Cricetulus griseus: one gene and its partners. The protein of the gene in region 3 purifies or fractionates together with the protein of the main gene of each other region. This does not show direct contact. Links are inferred from orthologs where the notes say so. Each region holds a gene or a part of one and is shown on either strand. Other genes may lie near its edges.

Evidence for each region.
Region 1: the proteins of Ppp4r2 (region 3) and Tiprl purify together in Homo sapiens (affinity purification with mass spectrometry; 5 studies listed by BioGRID and IntAct, counting the BioPlex papers as one, with this or other methods). This does not show direct contact. The link is inferred for Cricetulus griseus from reciprocal best matches to the Homo sapiens genes PPP4R2 and TIPRL.
Region 2: the proteins of Ppp4r2 (region 3) and Dhx38 purify together in Homo sapiens (affinity purification with mass spectrometry; 3 studies listed by BioGRID and IntAct, counting the BioPlex papers as one, with this or other methods). This does not show direct contact. The link is inferred for Cricetulus griseus from reciprocal best matches to the Homo sapiens genes PPP4R2 and DHX38.
Region 4: the proteins of Ppp4r2 (region 3) and Ccdc6 purify together in Homo sapiens (co-immunoprecipitation; 3 studies listed by BioGRID and IntAct, counting the BioPlex papers as one, with this or other methods). This does not show direct contact. The link is inferred for Cricetulus griseus from reciprocal best matches to the Homo sapiens genes PPP4R2 and CCDC6.

What each region holds. Positions count from the first base shown.
Region 1 is NC_048598.1:27,172,561-27,176,125, reverse strand, and holds part of Tiprl (TIP41-like protein), read right to left. Parts: intron 3,430-3,565; coding exon 3,330-3,429; intron 1-3,329. UniProt on the Homo sapiens protein: May be a allosteric regulator of serine/threonine-protein phosphatase 2A (PP2A). Isoform 1 inhibits catalytic activity of the PP2A(D) core complex in vitro. The PP2A(C):TIPRL complex does not show phosphatase activity.
Region 2 is NC_048596.1:185,926,253-185,929,817, forward strand, and holds part of Dhx38 (pre-mRNA-splicing factor ATP-dependent RNA helicase PRP16), read right to left. Parts: coding exon 3,518-3,565; intron 3,058-3,517; coding exon 2,896-3,057; intron 2,698-2,895; coding exon 2,590-2,697; intron 2,249-2,589; coding exon 2,136-2,248; intron 952-2,135; coding exon 814-951; intron 484-813; coding exon 297-483; intron 156-296; coding exon 1-155. UniProt on the Homo sapiens protein: Probable ATP-binding RNA helicase. Involved in pre-mRNA splicing as component of the spliceosome.
Region 3 is NC_048601.1:43,113,259-43,116,823, forward strand, and holds part of Ppp4r2 (serine/threonine-protein phosphatase 4 regulatory subunit 2), read right to left. Parts: intron 2,692-3,565; coding exon 2,598-2,691; intron 635-2,597; coding exon 597-634; intron 1-596. UniProt on the Homo sapiens protein: Regulatory subunit of serine/threonine-protein phosphatase 4 (PP4). May regulate the activity of PPP4C at centrosomal microtubule organizing centers.
Region 4 is NW_023276806.1:267,588,072-267,592,218, reverse strand, and holds the start of Ccdc6 (coiled-coil domain-containing protein 6), read left to right. Parts: upstream 1-1,340; 5' UTR 1,341-1,449; coding exon 1,450-1,731; intron 1,732-4,147.

The DNA of each region.
Region 1 (3,565 bases), on a different chromosome or scaffold from region 3:
AGTTGGAACTGGAGAAATATTTCTTTCTGTTAAAATGGCACCTACCTTAGGTGCTGGGAAATATAGTGCCTGAAGCAAAAGCATGACAACCTGTGTTCAAACCCCAGAAAACCACATAAAAAGCTAGGTGTGGAGGTTCCTGAACACAAGGTCAGCAATGGGGAGACTGGTTACACAACAATGCTAACATAGTTAACCCTTCTCAACTATATATACTTACAAATTGTTTTTTGTTTGTTTTCTTAAAGCATTAATGTTGTTAGGTAGACCACACACGATGACACTATGTTAATAGTCAATTACCCCAATTTTTTAAAACATATTTTAATTGATTCTTTAGGAACTTCACATATACCAAATGTGCAAAACAGTAAGTTACGGGCAGTGTGTTATCCAAAATCATAGTTTAAATTTGTGAACCCAATACTTCATCTACAAAATGAGGATACTGGACCTACCTACAAGGTTATTTTGAGCACTAAAGACCAAAATTATAATAATTTATCTGAAAACCTTTAACTTAAAAAGTCTGTTTTTTTTTTTCCCCCAAAGATGTATTTACCTTATATGTATGAGTGTTTGGCATGCATGTATGCATGAACACCATGTGCATTCCTGGTGCCCACTGGTGTCAGAAGAGGATATCAGATCTTTTGAACTAGAGTTACAGATGGTTGTGAGCCACCATATGGGTGCTGGGAACTGAACCTGGTCCTCTGCAGAGTAGTAAGTGCTCTTCACTGTTGAGCCATCTCCACAGCCTCAGTCACTCCATTAAAACACCAAAAAACCACATTCATCAACTTCAGACATAAAGCCTAGTCATGCCTAGTATTCCAACAGTCACCTACTATTTGAGACCATCTATTGAGGTCTTCACTATGTAACAGACACTGCATTAAATATTTTACATGTGGGATCTGCCTCACAATTGGTATTGTCCATTTATCAAAATAAGGCTTTGCAAAAGATCAAACTGTGAGGAGATGACTCAATGGGCAAAGCCTGACTTTGAATCCCCAAAATCTACATAAAGCCAGATATAATAGTTCATGTCTGTAATACTGGTGCTCCTAGGGTGAAGACAGGAGAATCCCCAGAAGCTTGCGGGAAATAGAGCCTAGTACACACATCAGCAAAAAACAGAAACCATGTTCAAGTAAGATGGAAGACAAGAACCCACACCCAAGGATGTCCTAACCTACACACACTGTGGCATATGTAAACTCCCAACACACACACACACACACACACACACACACACACACTCACCCACACACACACACACACACACGAGAGAGAGAGAGAGAGAGAGAGAGAGAGAGAGAGAGAGAGAGAGCAAATTGCTTTGTCAAGCTGATTTGAAGCAAAGCCCATATTCTGACAAAGCCTAAGTACACCACTATCACTACCAGAATGGGAGATCACACTGACATTTATCAGCAACACTTTAGAAGAAATTATATTATAGGTGAAAATATTGGAAGAATACCAAGCGCATAGTTTTATCTTCTCCTATCAGTCTCCATCTCTATTGCCTTGGTTCTTGCTCCAAATGCTATACTTACAGCTAATGCAGCTTTTCCTAAGTGAATCCATTAAACAACCATCATCACTATTGCATGAGGTATCATAAAACTTCAATTTCTTCATTCCTGGCAACAAAATATCAAATGACCTCAGCTCTCTGCAAACTTCAATCAGAAGTGATGACAGACTACAGTCTGTAAAGTTGTCAAGAGAATAAGAAAATCACCATACTCTCACTGGACTATGCAATGGCACACAGAAGAAGTTTAAGATATGTCTGATGAAATGAATAAATGAGCAAATGTCTATTTTCTCAAAAGTTTTGTTTGTGTACTGGAAGCACACATAGAAAAGTTTGGAGGAGAAACTAAGAATTAGTTTCAGCCGGTGTGGTGGCACACACCTTTTAATCTTAGCACTTGAGATGAAAACCCAGTCAGATCTCTATCAATTTGAGGCCAGCCTGGTCTACAGAGAGTTCCAGGATGGCCAGGGCTAAGTAGATGAACTCACCTTGAAAAACAAAGAAAAAGAAAAAAGAACCCCACCACCACCACCAAAGATTTAATTTCTATCTCCTGAAACTAAACTAAAAAAAAATTTACATAGGCAAGGAGACAAGGATTTCACACATACCCTCACATGTCCAGCTAACCATCAACTTATGATATAGCCTCCAATAACATTTAGTGTGTGTGTTATGAGCATGTGTGGCAGTCAGAGGACAACTTGTAGGAGCTGGTTCTCTCTTGCCACCATATGAGTCCCAGGGATCAGGCACAGTCATCAAGCTTGGCAGCAAGTGACTATCCACTGAGCCATCTCACCAGCCCTAAAGGGTAAGGAAGATAGTTTACACTAGAACAACTTTGTCCTTACGCCTGACAGACATACAACCTAAGCCTCACTTGTTTCACTTCAGTCTCACTATCAGAGCTTAAAATGTAGTTAATAGAGACCTTCCAATTCCATGTTCTGTGTCCTGACTACACAGATGCAGATCAATCAACACTAACACAACATGCTAAAATGTAATTAGAACCCGCTTGTGAACTATTCATATAAAAATTCTTCCACGGGCAAGCATTTCCATTTTCTCAATTTACTAGTAACAAGGTGTCTGGATTAAATAAGTCACCTAAAGGGCCAGGTGTGGTAGTGCACAACTTTGATCCCAGTACCGGGGTGGCAGAGGCAGGCAATCGATCTCTTGAGTTCAAGGCAAAACTGGACTACATGGAAAGGCTCCAGGTCATCCAGAAGGAAAGGAAAAAGTAACTTAACTAAAATACCAGATTCATACTCAGTGCAAGCAGGATATAAATTTTCTGTTCAACAGTTCTGTTGTTCATGTGTAAAACTCTAAGCTACTAGCTAGCCATTTCTATCTATATCACCTAATAATGCATTACCAAGGACAGATGCTTGCCTATGACACTGCTAACACCAAGGCAAAGTAAGGTTTTAAAGAACATCGTTCCTAGGCAAGTACAGGTACATACCTATACTTCCAGATACTCAGGAGGCCAAGGCAGGAGTACCTGAGCCTAAAAGTTCAATGCCAGACTCCTGAGACTCCATCTCAAGCAAACAAAAGGGGAACTGGCTATATCTTTCTTTTATTTTCCACTAATAGATACATTAATAAAACTAAATCCCTTCATATTAGGTTCTAAAGCCTGCCACAATCAAACTAAGCAGGATAAAAGCAGTGGGAAAAAATAATAACATAACTAAAAGATCTAGTGCTGAGATTATAAAAAACTAATGATTCATAAAAGCAAAAAGTTCAAATTTACCTTTAACTTAAGAGATTCTCCAAGTAACGTTCCTTTATAATCTGTTGTATAGGTCCAATCATATGGTTTAAGAACTTCTTTGGAGTGTTCACCCTCCGTCCTCAAATACCAAAACAAAAAAGGATGAGTTTAGAGTATATATTAGCAGTATTCATATGCACACCAAATTACACATCAGATATGTAATATAAAATACCCTACTAATACACACACAACATAAAACATCTTATTAAAGG
Region 2 (3,565 bases), on a different chromosome or scaffold from region 3:
TTGAGGGACCGTTCATGGGCCTCATCCATGATGATGGCACTGTAGTGATCCAGGTCAGCCTCCCTGAGGGACTCACGGAGCAGGATCCCATCAGTCATGTATTTGATTAAGGTGTTTTCAGAAGTGCAGTCTTCAAAGCGAATGGCATAACCCACCTGGGGGTCAGAGACACAGCTCAGAAAGTGACCATTACCCATTGTTAAACCCCACAGATGGAGTCCAGCTTAAGCAGACCACAGCCTCCAGCAAAATGGCAGAAGCTGTCAGGAAAAAGCTCAGACCTCATGGCCACTCACCTCTTCACCAAGGTTTCCCCCCATCTCTTCACTGACTCTCTTGGCCACTGACATGGCAGCCACACGCCGGGGCTGGGTGCACCCAATCATCCCATAGTCTGTATAACCATCTTCATGCAAGTACTGGGTCAGCTGAGTGGTCTTGCCGCTCCCTGTCTCCCCAACCACGATCACAATGCTGTTGTCTCTACAAGGAAGAGGAGCAATGCACTGAGCAGCCTGAATGGAAAAGCAATCTTAGAAAACGCCCCCTAGAAGCCTTAAGAAGCCTTGCTGCCTCTAGTAAAGCCTAGCTCTCCAAGAAGCATGCTTGACTAGAGAAGCATGCAAAACCAGCCTCTTTAAGAAGCCACCACACGAAAAGTCTGGGACTCAGCCAAGGTAAACCTGAAGCACTAAAGGAAGTAATGTCATCTTACTTCATGCAGCATAGCCTAAGCCAATCCACTAGGGAAAAATAATATTTTCCTTCCCCATTAGATGTCCCACACTGGAACACAGGGTCTGGGGACGTTACCTGATGATGGTGAGAAGCTCCTGCTGTACTGCAAAGATGGGCAGGTACTGCCTCTGCTCCAGGATCGACTTCTTCTTTGCAAACTCACTGCTGGCCTCACTCTTCTCCTTCATGTGATCCGCAAACTTCTGCTCTGTCCTGGGAAACACGACAGCATGGATGACCTCCCCACACTGTCCCTCAGGAGTAAGTTAGCTGCCCTCCTCTTGCTCCTAAGAATGTGAACAACTGTGACAAGAAGCAATCAACCTCATAGACACCAAAGCAGCCTGGCCATCCAAGACTGCATCTCAGTGGGCCTACGGTGCTAGCAGACCACTCCATCATCCATCCATCACACACAGTCCAGAGCCCTGATCAAACAGCTGACAGGGATCAGAGAGCAGACTCTCCAGTGGGCAGATTGCCTGTCCTAAACAAAAGGTGGCCAGAAGAGGAACTGAAATTAGCCAGCAGGTCACTAATTTAGACAGAAATTTAGGCAATTTCAGCACCACACTTTACGAAGCCACAGAGGTCTTCCAGGTGCTAGCTATACAGGACATAGATCAGAATTCCTCTCTCCCCTTGATAGGGCTGCACAGTGTAAAGGTCTCATTTTCAAAGAACAGCTCACTTACGTTTGCCTTATTTCTGTATAAGCAATCAGTGTCTGATACATGGTCATGTCCCAAGACCCTTCTACCCACCTTCCCCAAGAGCCCTTTCCTCCCCCAGATCTGCCCAAGCTCCTTCAAGTTTCTATTTCTAATTTCACTCAGTCCTCCTGGTCACCTACCAACTGAAACGGAAGGGACGAAATGACCCAGAGACCAGCAAGGCCTGACCAGTAATACCAACTTCTTATTTGGGACACTTCACACAGAGGTACAAAGAACCACTAGGAGAAGTAGAAGGGACATTTGAGTCTAGTGCCTACCCAATGCAGGGACTCCACAAAGCAGTGACTCAACAGCTGCATAAAACCTCTATGAACAGAGACGTTACTACCAAAACAGAGTCCCTTGTATTGAAAAAGCCCTGTGAAAACCAGTTCCTCCTTACTATAAGGTACTGAAATCCAACCAAGGAAAGAAATCCTGTCTTCCCACATGGAAGAGCTCAAAGAGCAGGGGCTCCCCACAGGACTGTCTGGTGCTAAACTAAATCACCATTTCCTAGCTGGGTGCCCTCAAGCAAATTCCTTAACCTCCCTGAGTCTCAGTCTACACAGCCATCACTGTAGCAACAGGGGTGACAATGGAAAGAAGCCCAAGGAAATCTAAAGTCAGTAGACAAGAGACTTGAAGGAAGGGATCAGAAGACTTGTCAACACTACCCACCTGTAGTCCACTTTCCCATCTTCTGTCACAGATTTATCTGGCTCTTCCTCTTTTTTGACACCCATTATGTCTCCTAGTTTGGTCCCTGCCAGTTCCCAGTGTTTGTGCTGAGCCTGAAGAAGACAACACGAGTGAAATTGATTCATCCGCTGACAAGACTATAGGCAGGGGAAACAATTCTGGTGGAGAGCAGGCTTCATCTGGCAGGCAGTAAACTCCCACAAGGCAACGGTAGCACCAAGCCACACATCTCAAGCCTCCAACACCCGGCACCAGGCCTTATAGTTGCCTTAACTAAGGACTGAGTAGAACGCAGTACTCTCCTTGGGCTGCTTCTTGATCCATGCAAGTACACCCTCTGACTGCCAGTGGGAGTCTATATGCCATATTGAGATTTTTAACAGGAGTAAGAAAAGAAACACAAGGACCTCAGCCCGGGTGGCAAGATACCAACCTTTCTCCGCTCCTTTTGTTCCCTGTGCTTGCGAACTGTCTGGCTGCCTTTCCGAGCAATAATGGCCAGGTCCGAGGTGGCATCCTTCACTGGGATTACAGGCTCTGGCTGCAGGAAGTAGGGAAGGAAAAAAAAAATTTCCCACTGGTCACTGAAGTCAACCAGAGGCCCTGCTGTACATGGATGGGCCCCAGTAAAGGAGTCCCGACCCCTCAAATGGACACGTGACTGTACCAACCCCTTCTTCCAACCCTCTCTCCCCCTCAATGCTTTCTAACGTCCAAGTCTCTGGCACAGAAGCCCTACCTGCTTGGTGAAGACGATGCGTCCATCCAGAAAAGGAGGCACCAGGTTGTGCACCATCAGATGCACCTTGGCTGCATTGTCCTCCTCAAAGTCCTCGTCCACCTCCAGCCGATGGACCACCCCACTGGTGAGCATTCGGTTAGTCTCCCAGCGCTCATTGTCCTGTGGGGATACAAGGAGAGTCACATTTAGCCTGCGACTAAGAGGTGATCTTGAAAGGTTAGCAGGCCAGTCCACACGTGACAGACTCTTAGTGGGACTCTACACCCTGCAGCTCCTTATTCAGAAGTCACTACTAAAGCTGAGGCACTTGCAGTACTTTGTCCCAAGAAGCAGCTGGGCACCAGCCCTAACACACACACAAATACACCCAGAGGCAGTCATCACCATACCATTCTCCCCACGGGGCCCTCACAGAGTACTGCAGGAGAGAGGAGGAGGAGCCGGGTGTTCTAAGCTACCGAAAGCTTCCTGCTCTTGTTCCTGTTCCACAGAGGCCTATCTGACCTGGCTCTGTCTATAAACAGCCGGCTGTGTTACATCATCACTTGGCAAATTGAAGACTCCTCCCATCCATCCCACCTCTGCTCTAAGCTGGCACCAGCCACTGCTGCAGCCTCACCTCATTGATCTGTCTACGCTGGGCTGAAATGCGCTTCTGCTTCTGTTT
Region 3 (3,565 bases):
GTATCTAATTTAGCAAGACAGATGAAGTCAAGAACTCTAAAAACAAAACTGTCTAAGAAATAAATGGCACTTAAGATTAAGCTAGTGGATCTATGAAGTAGCAGCCTCTTTTCCCCACTCTTCACATGTCCCAGGGTACTCAGTCTCCTCTCCTTCTCTCACATGTGTGCTCATGTGTGTACTTACATGCTCCAGGACACCCACCCACAACAAAGAATTATACATGTGGCCTAAATACTAATGGTGCCATGGCTGAACAGATGCCTGGAACCAAGTCCTAAATTTGGTATAGAAATCCTGACAACTAGTAATACTTGTCCATGAAATATCTTATTCCAAACCTACCTGCCACCCCTAGAAAAACATCTAGGTGGCCAAAAGTATAGTAATTAACCAGTCTCAATCATATCACTCTGCTGGAAATACTTTTACAGCATTCTGGCAACATTCCACACCTCAAGGACCAGGTGGTAGATTTTTACAACGGTTAGTCACAATGTTTAGTTACACACAAAATAAACGTACAATACTTTAACAACATATTAAAATAATTAGAATATAGTAATTAATATCAAAAGCAGAAAAAATATACTTACTCTGAAGAAGGACAAACACAGCTAACAACCATCACATTCTGAAATAACAAAAATTGGTGACTCAATGAGTGAAAGAAAAGCACAGTAACACAATGTTAACAACTCCTTTGAAACTCAGAATTACCCTTTTACTCCAACTGAAAGCAACTGGTCAAAAACAAAACAACCCCCCCCCCCACAAAAAACTATGCCTTGCTTAATCATTTATATTGTATACTCTCCACCACACAGGTATCAGGATTGGCCTGGGCAATAAAGCCCTGGTTGGCCTGGAACTCACTATATAGACCACACTGGCCAATTCAAGAGATGGACTTGCCTCTGACTTCCAAATACTGGGATTAAAGGCTTGTACACTACCAGAGGTGGTTGAAGTATTTTCTTTTCTTATAGAAAGAACAATTCCAATAATTTAAAACAGATAAATAGCATATGACTCCTGAAAACTCACTAAGCAATAATGCAGGTGAGAATATTGGTTTTTTAATTTCTTTTTCCTAGTGCCTTTTTTTTTTTTTACAATTCAGACAATGTATAGTGTATCTAGAACTATAGTCCAATTTATTTTCCATTTTCCTATGCATGCACTTACACATGGAGGACCTGAACATTCTTCCCCCTCATTCAACAAGACAAGATCTCTCAATTAAACCCAGAGCTCGACAGCCAGTTTGTTCTGTGGATTCTGTCACTACCTTTCAAAGCTGGAATTCATTACACGCAAGTCAGCACATCCACCAGCACTTATGTTGGTTCTAGGGATCCCAACTCTGGTCCTCGAACTGGTGTGGCATTCCCCAACAAATGTGATGGCTTGTGTGAGCCAAATCCCAGTCTCTCTTCTAAAACTATTTTGAATTCAGATATTTAATCCAAGTGTAATGAACTTCCTTCCTTATCTATAAAGCAATACTCAACCCAAGGAGACAAAGCTCCCTCCTATGGAAACGTTAGCAGAAGAGCACTTTTAAGGTTCCCTTACAGCCCTATCACCCCAATTCCAGAGAAAGCACTTCTTTTTTTTAAAAATCCCTGGCTCACACACTGTAAAATTCACAGTACTGAGCTGGCAAACACAGGCGGTGATATCCTGCCTATTCATCAAAAAATTCCAAAACACAATTACTAAAGGACCTTGAGCCGAAGTACTGATGAACCCTGCAGCGCCCTGCCCTTCAGAATCTCATCAAATAGACAACATAAAGAATCAACCCAAGAACTACTGAAAATCCCAAAGTTAATGGTCTTAAGACTCCTGGTCCCAGAGTAAAAGAACTGATTTCAAAACAAAAACTTCTAATGTCAACTATGCCTTTAGGACCAACTACCACATAAGAATTAGGCATCTGTTCAAATTTAGTTGATCCAATTACTCCTTCCAGCACTGATTTAATGTTGTGATCTCTTAAACACTATGACACCTTTGTGTACTGTTACTTTCATTCTCCAGAATGTTCTTTCTTTAGCAGCAGTACCCTGCCACCCATAATGTGAACTGGATCTTTCTTCTCAATGTCACTAAAATTCAAGTTTCCAAGGTTGCGGTGTCTCTGAATTCCAGAATTCCAATGACATTTACAATATACTGCTAACACTCATATCTTTCTGATGGGCTTTAAAAAAAAATGCTTAACAAAGAAAGAAAACATTTGTAAAATAAAAAACAAGGCAGGTAGTGGTGGCAGATGCCTTTAATTCCAACATCTGGAGGCAGAGGCAGAACTCTAGGTTTGAGGCCACCCTGGTCTACAGAGCAAGTTCCAGGCCAGTCGGGGTTATACACAGAGAAACCCTGTCTCAGAAAACCAAAAGCAAATAATAAATTAATTAAACACTTAAAAATATAATTGAACAGCAGCTTTCCTCAAAATAATGGTTGCCTGGGACCTTTTGGGCCTTATTTCTCCCTTTGCTTATCAGTAAATAGTCATGAAACAACTCGTCATTATCTTTTCTGGGACCTATTAGGTTTCACTTTAATTCTTGTAATAGAATACATACCTTTTCTACTCCTCTGAGAAATTTGTCTGTTCCTGTATAATTTCTTCTTGGATCTGTTAGCAATTCACACAGTCGTTGAATAGTAAAAGGGATACTGCAAAAGAATAATTGTGTAGTTTGAGGTCATAAGTATAAGAAACTACAGTGTAAGTGTAAGTGACTCCACAGTGACAGCTTTGTGGAGTCCCGAGAATGAATGCAAGAGTCACTCACATCAATATAAAAGAACACTGAAAACAATGTGTCAAAACTCATTCTGGAAAAAAATTGATGCAATATTCTAAATTCTGATCCCTCAATTTGAACTTCACAACAGAGGTAACACAAATAATAACTGTCACATTAATTATAAACAATGTTTCCTCAAGCATGGCTTTTGCACTCAAAAATTTTACTGAACATCAGAAACCATTTTGTTACTGGACAGAATATGACAAATTAGCCTAATACAAAAGTATTTTAAATATGACTCTGCTCCATTACTACAACTTTATATGCAACCTATAAATTTAGTCAAACTTTATTATTTTGGTTAAGAATTTTGGGGTTAACTATACCAAACACTTTTACTAGAATGTAGTTTTCCCTTAATCACAGCAAATATAAAAGACTGAAAGTCATGGAACAATATTCATTTTACAAAGAGTTTTGAGGAAACCAGAAAGATGCCTCGGCAGTTAAGAGCACTGGCTGTTCTTCCAGAGGACTCAGGTTTGATCCCAGGACCCATATTAACATAGCAGATCACAGTTTCTGCAACTCTAATCCCAGGGGATCCAATACCTGGTCTCACTGGAACATAAATGCAGGCAAAACTACCACACATATAAAAATAAATAAAATTTTAAAAAGGGGTTGAGCTCACAAAATTATTAGCAGTCACCAGAATCACAGTTAAGTGTAATGTTTTAAGTTACTAGATGTGAAAAATGCTGAGAAAATGTTATGTCAAAAAATACATCTTTGGA
Region 4 (4,147 bases), on a different chromosome or scaffold from region 3:
AAATGTAGGCGTAAAGGACAAGGGGAGTGGGATTAGCAACCAGGAAAGCGGTTTCTTAAGTCATACTAAATGCTTTATAAAACTCCTAGGAGCAGTTGACAGCTAGGAAACACTTTTTACCCACCCCACCCCGCCCCCTTTTTGCGTTTTTTTTTGTTTCCATGAGTTTGTTCTTCCGTTGACTAAACTTGGATAATAAAACCCGTCTGGTCAGTTTCACTTTCCAATTTTTACCCATAAGTGAAAGCTGTTTTGTATCAGCGGGGTGGTGAAGTGTTTAGACCCCTTTCACCTGCCAGGCGAGTTTCCTGCAAGCCCTTCTAGGAGGGACGGGCCTAACAGTATTTGAGCTTCTGATTGTTTGAGGCTGGCTCTCTATGGTAGTAATTACGGTTTTATTTTTACCTCCTGGAGTTTTGTAGGAGTCGGTGAGTGGTAATAATGGTTATACAGTTCCCTCACTTAATCGTGGCTATTTGTTTAGCATTGTGCCTGCAGTTGCTTTGGAAAATTGGCACTTGAAGTGTGTTTCAACCCCTCTGAAAAAAAACAAAAAACAAAAAACAAAAAACAAACCAGAAAAACAAAATCCGGTTTCTTGACTAGACCAATCTTCCAGTCGTAATCCTATTTTGTGTCCCGTGCAGACAGAGTTTGCAAGATGCAAAGGGTGGAGGGGGCTGCGCTTGGTTTAAACAACTGGACGAAGGGGGCTTGTTTTCTCTGCAAGATTCTTTCCCAAGCAAGGCTAACCTGTGGCTGCCGTCGTGTCGTGCCCTCCCTCCCTCCCCCCCCGGGGGGGGTCACTGCAGGGGAACTTTCTGTTCCTAGCTCCAAGCGATCCTCCGCAAGAAGCAGCCAGAGAGGTCCACGCGCGCCGGCGCCGAACGAAGGTGCCAGGCTACAGCTCGGCGGGGCTGGGAGGGTGGGGTGGACCGAGGAGCCCGGCTGCCCCTCCCACGTGTCCCGGCACCTGCAGGGCTGGCGCGGCCATGGAGTCCGCCTTTCTCCGGAAGAGGCGGCGCGGCCGTGGGCTGGGGCCTGGGACGCAGGGGCCCGGGGCGGGAGCACGTGCGCGGGAAGGCGGCGCGGACCCGAGCGTGTGAGCGTGTGTGTGCAAGCTGATCACCGCCGCCGCCGCCGCCGCCGCCGCGCGCCGGGCTGGGGTGGGGCTGGGGCTGCGGGGACGTCCCCCGCGGAGCGCGCCAGGCCTCGGCGCTGCAGTACTGCCCGAGTCCGGGCGGGGTCTCTGTTCCCTGGCGGTGCAGCTCGCGCGGCCGCGGGAAGCGCCCTCTCTTTCTCCCCGCCGCCGCGCGCGTCTGCGCCTGCCGCCCGCGCCGCGCTCTCAGCTCCCTGCTCCCCGCCGCGCGCCCGGCCCCGCCCACTCGCCGCGCGCCCGGTCCTCCGCGCCCGGCTCCCCGGCTCCTCCGCGCCCCGGCTCGCCCCGCCATGGCGGACAGCGCGAGCGAGAGTGATACCGACGCGGCGGGCGGCGGCCCGGCAGCCATGCAGTCGTCCTGCTCGGCGACCTCGGGCGGCAGCGGCGGGGGCGGCGGCGGGAAGTCGGGGGGCATTGTCATCTCGCCGTTCCGCCTGGAGGAGCTCACCAACCGCCTGGCCTCGCTGCAGCAGGAGAACAAGGTGCTCAAGATCGAGCTGGAGACCTACAAACTCAAGTGCAAGGCGCTGCAGGAGGAGAACCGCGACCTGCGCAAAGCCAGCGTGACCATCGTGAGTGCGCCCCGCCGACCGGGAGGACCCCCGAGGGCGCGCCCCCGCGAGGGGCTGCGGGCCTGCGGGCACAGGGAGTCGGCCCCGGGGTCCGCGCGTGCCCTCCCTCCCTTGGGGTGTTGGAGGTGCCTGGCGAAGACACCCCCCCACGTCTCCTCTTCGCCCGGGGTGGAGGCCCCTCAGAGGCTGAGCTGGAGGCTGGCGGCGTGGCTTGGGGGGCGGGGTGGGACTCCCTGGGTCCTGTGGTGTCTGAACGCTCCGAATCCGGGGACGCCCTCCCCCACGAGTGCTCATGAGTGGACGTAGCTGGGGGGTCTGTTTGGGGGCTGGTGGGGGAGGCGGGGTGTGTCGCTGGGCTGGGCACCCAGTTGGCAGGAGGACGGCGCTTTGCTGGATCGCCGGCGCAGGGGGAGGGAGAGAGTGGCTCGGAATCCGGGAAGTGGAGTTTTCTGGCCAGGATGGAGAGGGAAGGGCGGGCACTGGGGCTACACCAGTCCCTCGTTCGGAATCCCTGTCCTTTTGGACTGGGAGGGTGGGCGGGTACAGAGTAGAGGGGGGTGTAGCGTCTGGCACTGGCTGGGACGGGGTTGGAGCTGAAGCCAGGATGGAGGGTGGCCGCTGGGACTGCCTGGCTGAGCAAGGATGTACGTGCGTCTCCTTCATTGGTGGTGGAGTGCTTAGGAGTACTTGCCTGTGAGTCTAGGTACTTGACGGGAACATAGGCCATCTGTTCTGTTTCTACCTGGCCCCTCGAGGCTCCCTGGAAGAGGGTAAGATTAGTCTGAGATCAGCCTCCTGGTGTAGCAGAGTGGAAAGGCCCCCGTAGCGGTGATGAGGCGAAACGTAACTAGAAAAAGTACGCGTTGTGCTCTCACCTCCCATCCTTGCCAACTCCACGTCATTAACATGCAGAATCCCCCACAGACAACCCTATTCAGATCAAAACAGTTTCCCAGCCAGCAGCACGGAAGAAAATGTCAAGAAATCAAGGAGGATAAATTGCCAGAGCCGCTTGCACACAGCTGATTAGACAAAACCTTCCAATGGAGAAAAGAAATTTGGTGATGGGTCAAGGATCACATCCTGGAAACGAAAACGGGACAAATTTAAGCTGCCTTTGTGCAAAAAAAAAAAAAAAAAAAAAAAAAAAGTGAAGTGTGTGTGTTCCCTGTGCCTGGCTTTTACATGGCCTTTCTTGGTTTGTGTAGATAGCAGGTTTCCACCAAAGAGGCAGTGTGATTTGCAACCTAAATAGCAGTTGGTTTTGCAGAAAGGCATCTTGCTTGCTCTCATCCAGCCCCGTTCAGTGGAACTGGACCCATAAGCATGCCTCTCCAGGCTGCAAGTTATTGGTTCGGCCTTTTGATAGGAAAGGAGAGCGATTTGTGGAGTTGGTTTGCAAGCCTCCAGTTTTCCTTGCCTAAGAGGGGACTTGGCAGAATTGAGTTGGAGCAGAGTACATCGGTGGAGGTTGTTTAAGATTGGATGTAAATGAAAACCATTTTTAAATACGTTGTAAAAGAGAACATTAGTCTTTTCAGACCCTGAGCCTTGAAAAAGAACAGAACTTACAGGAGAGGGTACCTCTGGCCTCTTTCCTGCAGGTTGGACTGTTTAGAGGCAGGAGACACTATGAAAGGGTTATCTGTTTGACCTGTTAACCTATAAGTAGGTCTGTCACTTGTACACAGACACAGTGGCCTTGCAGGGACAAACATGTTTCTTTCTGGTGTGCAAGCCCAGAAGCCTCCTCAATACTTGCAACTGTGGGTAAGGTGGCAGCTTTGTTTCTTAACATCACTCTCAACTACAGCTAACACACAGTCAGAGCCTTGTATAAGTGTTTTGTAGTCCTAGCCAGTAATGCTCTTAAATTGTTCATGCTGACCAGTTTGCAAAGGTGGGGCAGGTCTTGTTTTTTTTTTTTTGTTTTGTTTTGTTTTGTTTTTGTTTTGTTTTTCTTAAATCACTAATGTATTCAGGGAGATTAAAGTGCACGTGCTCTACCTGAGTCCCTCATTCTTGGTAGGTGTTAGGAGCTAATAATCTTGTGCAGCAACCCCTTTTGATCTGAGGTGAAGACTGGGCATGGGGTGGGGTCCAACCTCTCCATTGGTTTATAGATGCAGAGCAGAACGACACCTGTAGAGTTTATACCAGCCTCAAGCTGTGTGTATTTCCTAATCAACCCGATTGGGAAGGCTCTGACAAGGCTGAGGTAGTTAAAGGAGGCCTCTGCTGTTTGCCACAATTGTAGTTAATTTAACTGGAAAATCAGTACCATCATCCCCTTTCTTGCTTCCGGCTCTCATTAGTTCTTCTAATTATAACATGAACTTCCATGTTCATCAACGCTAAAGGTGGCGAAGGCTGTGCTTGGACACCTTCAGGAAGATGTGTTGAACTTAACTTTTCC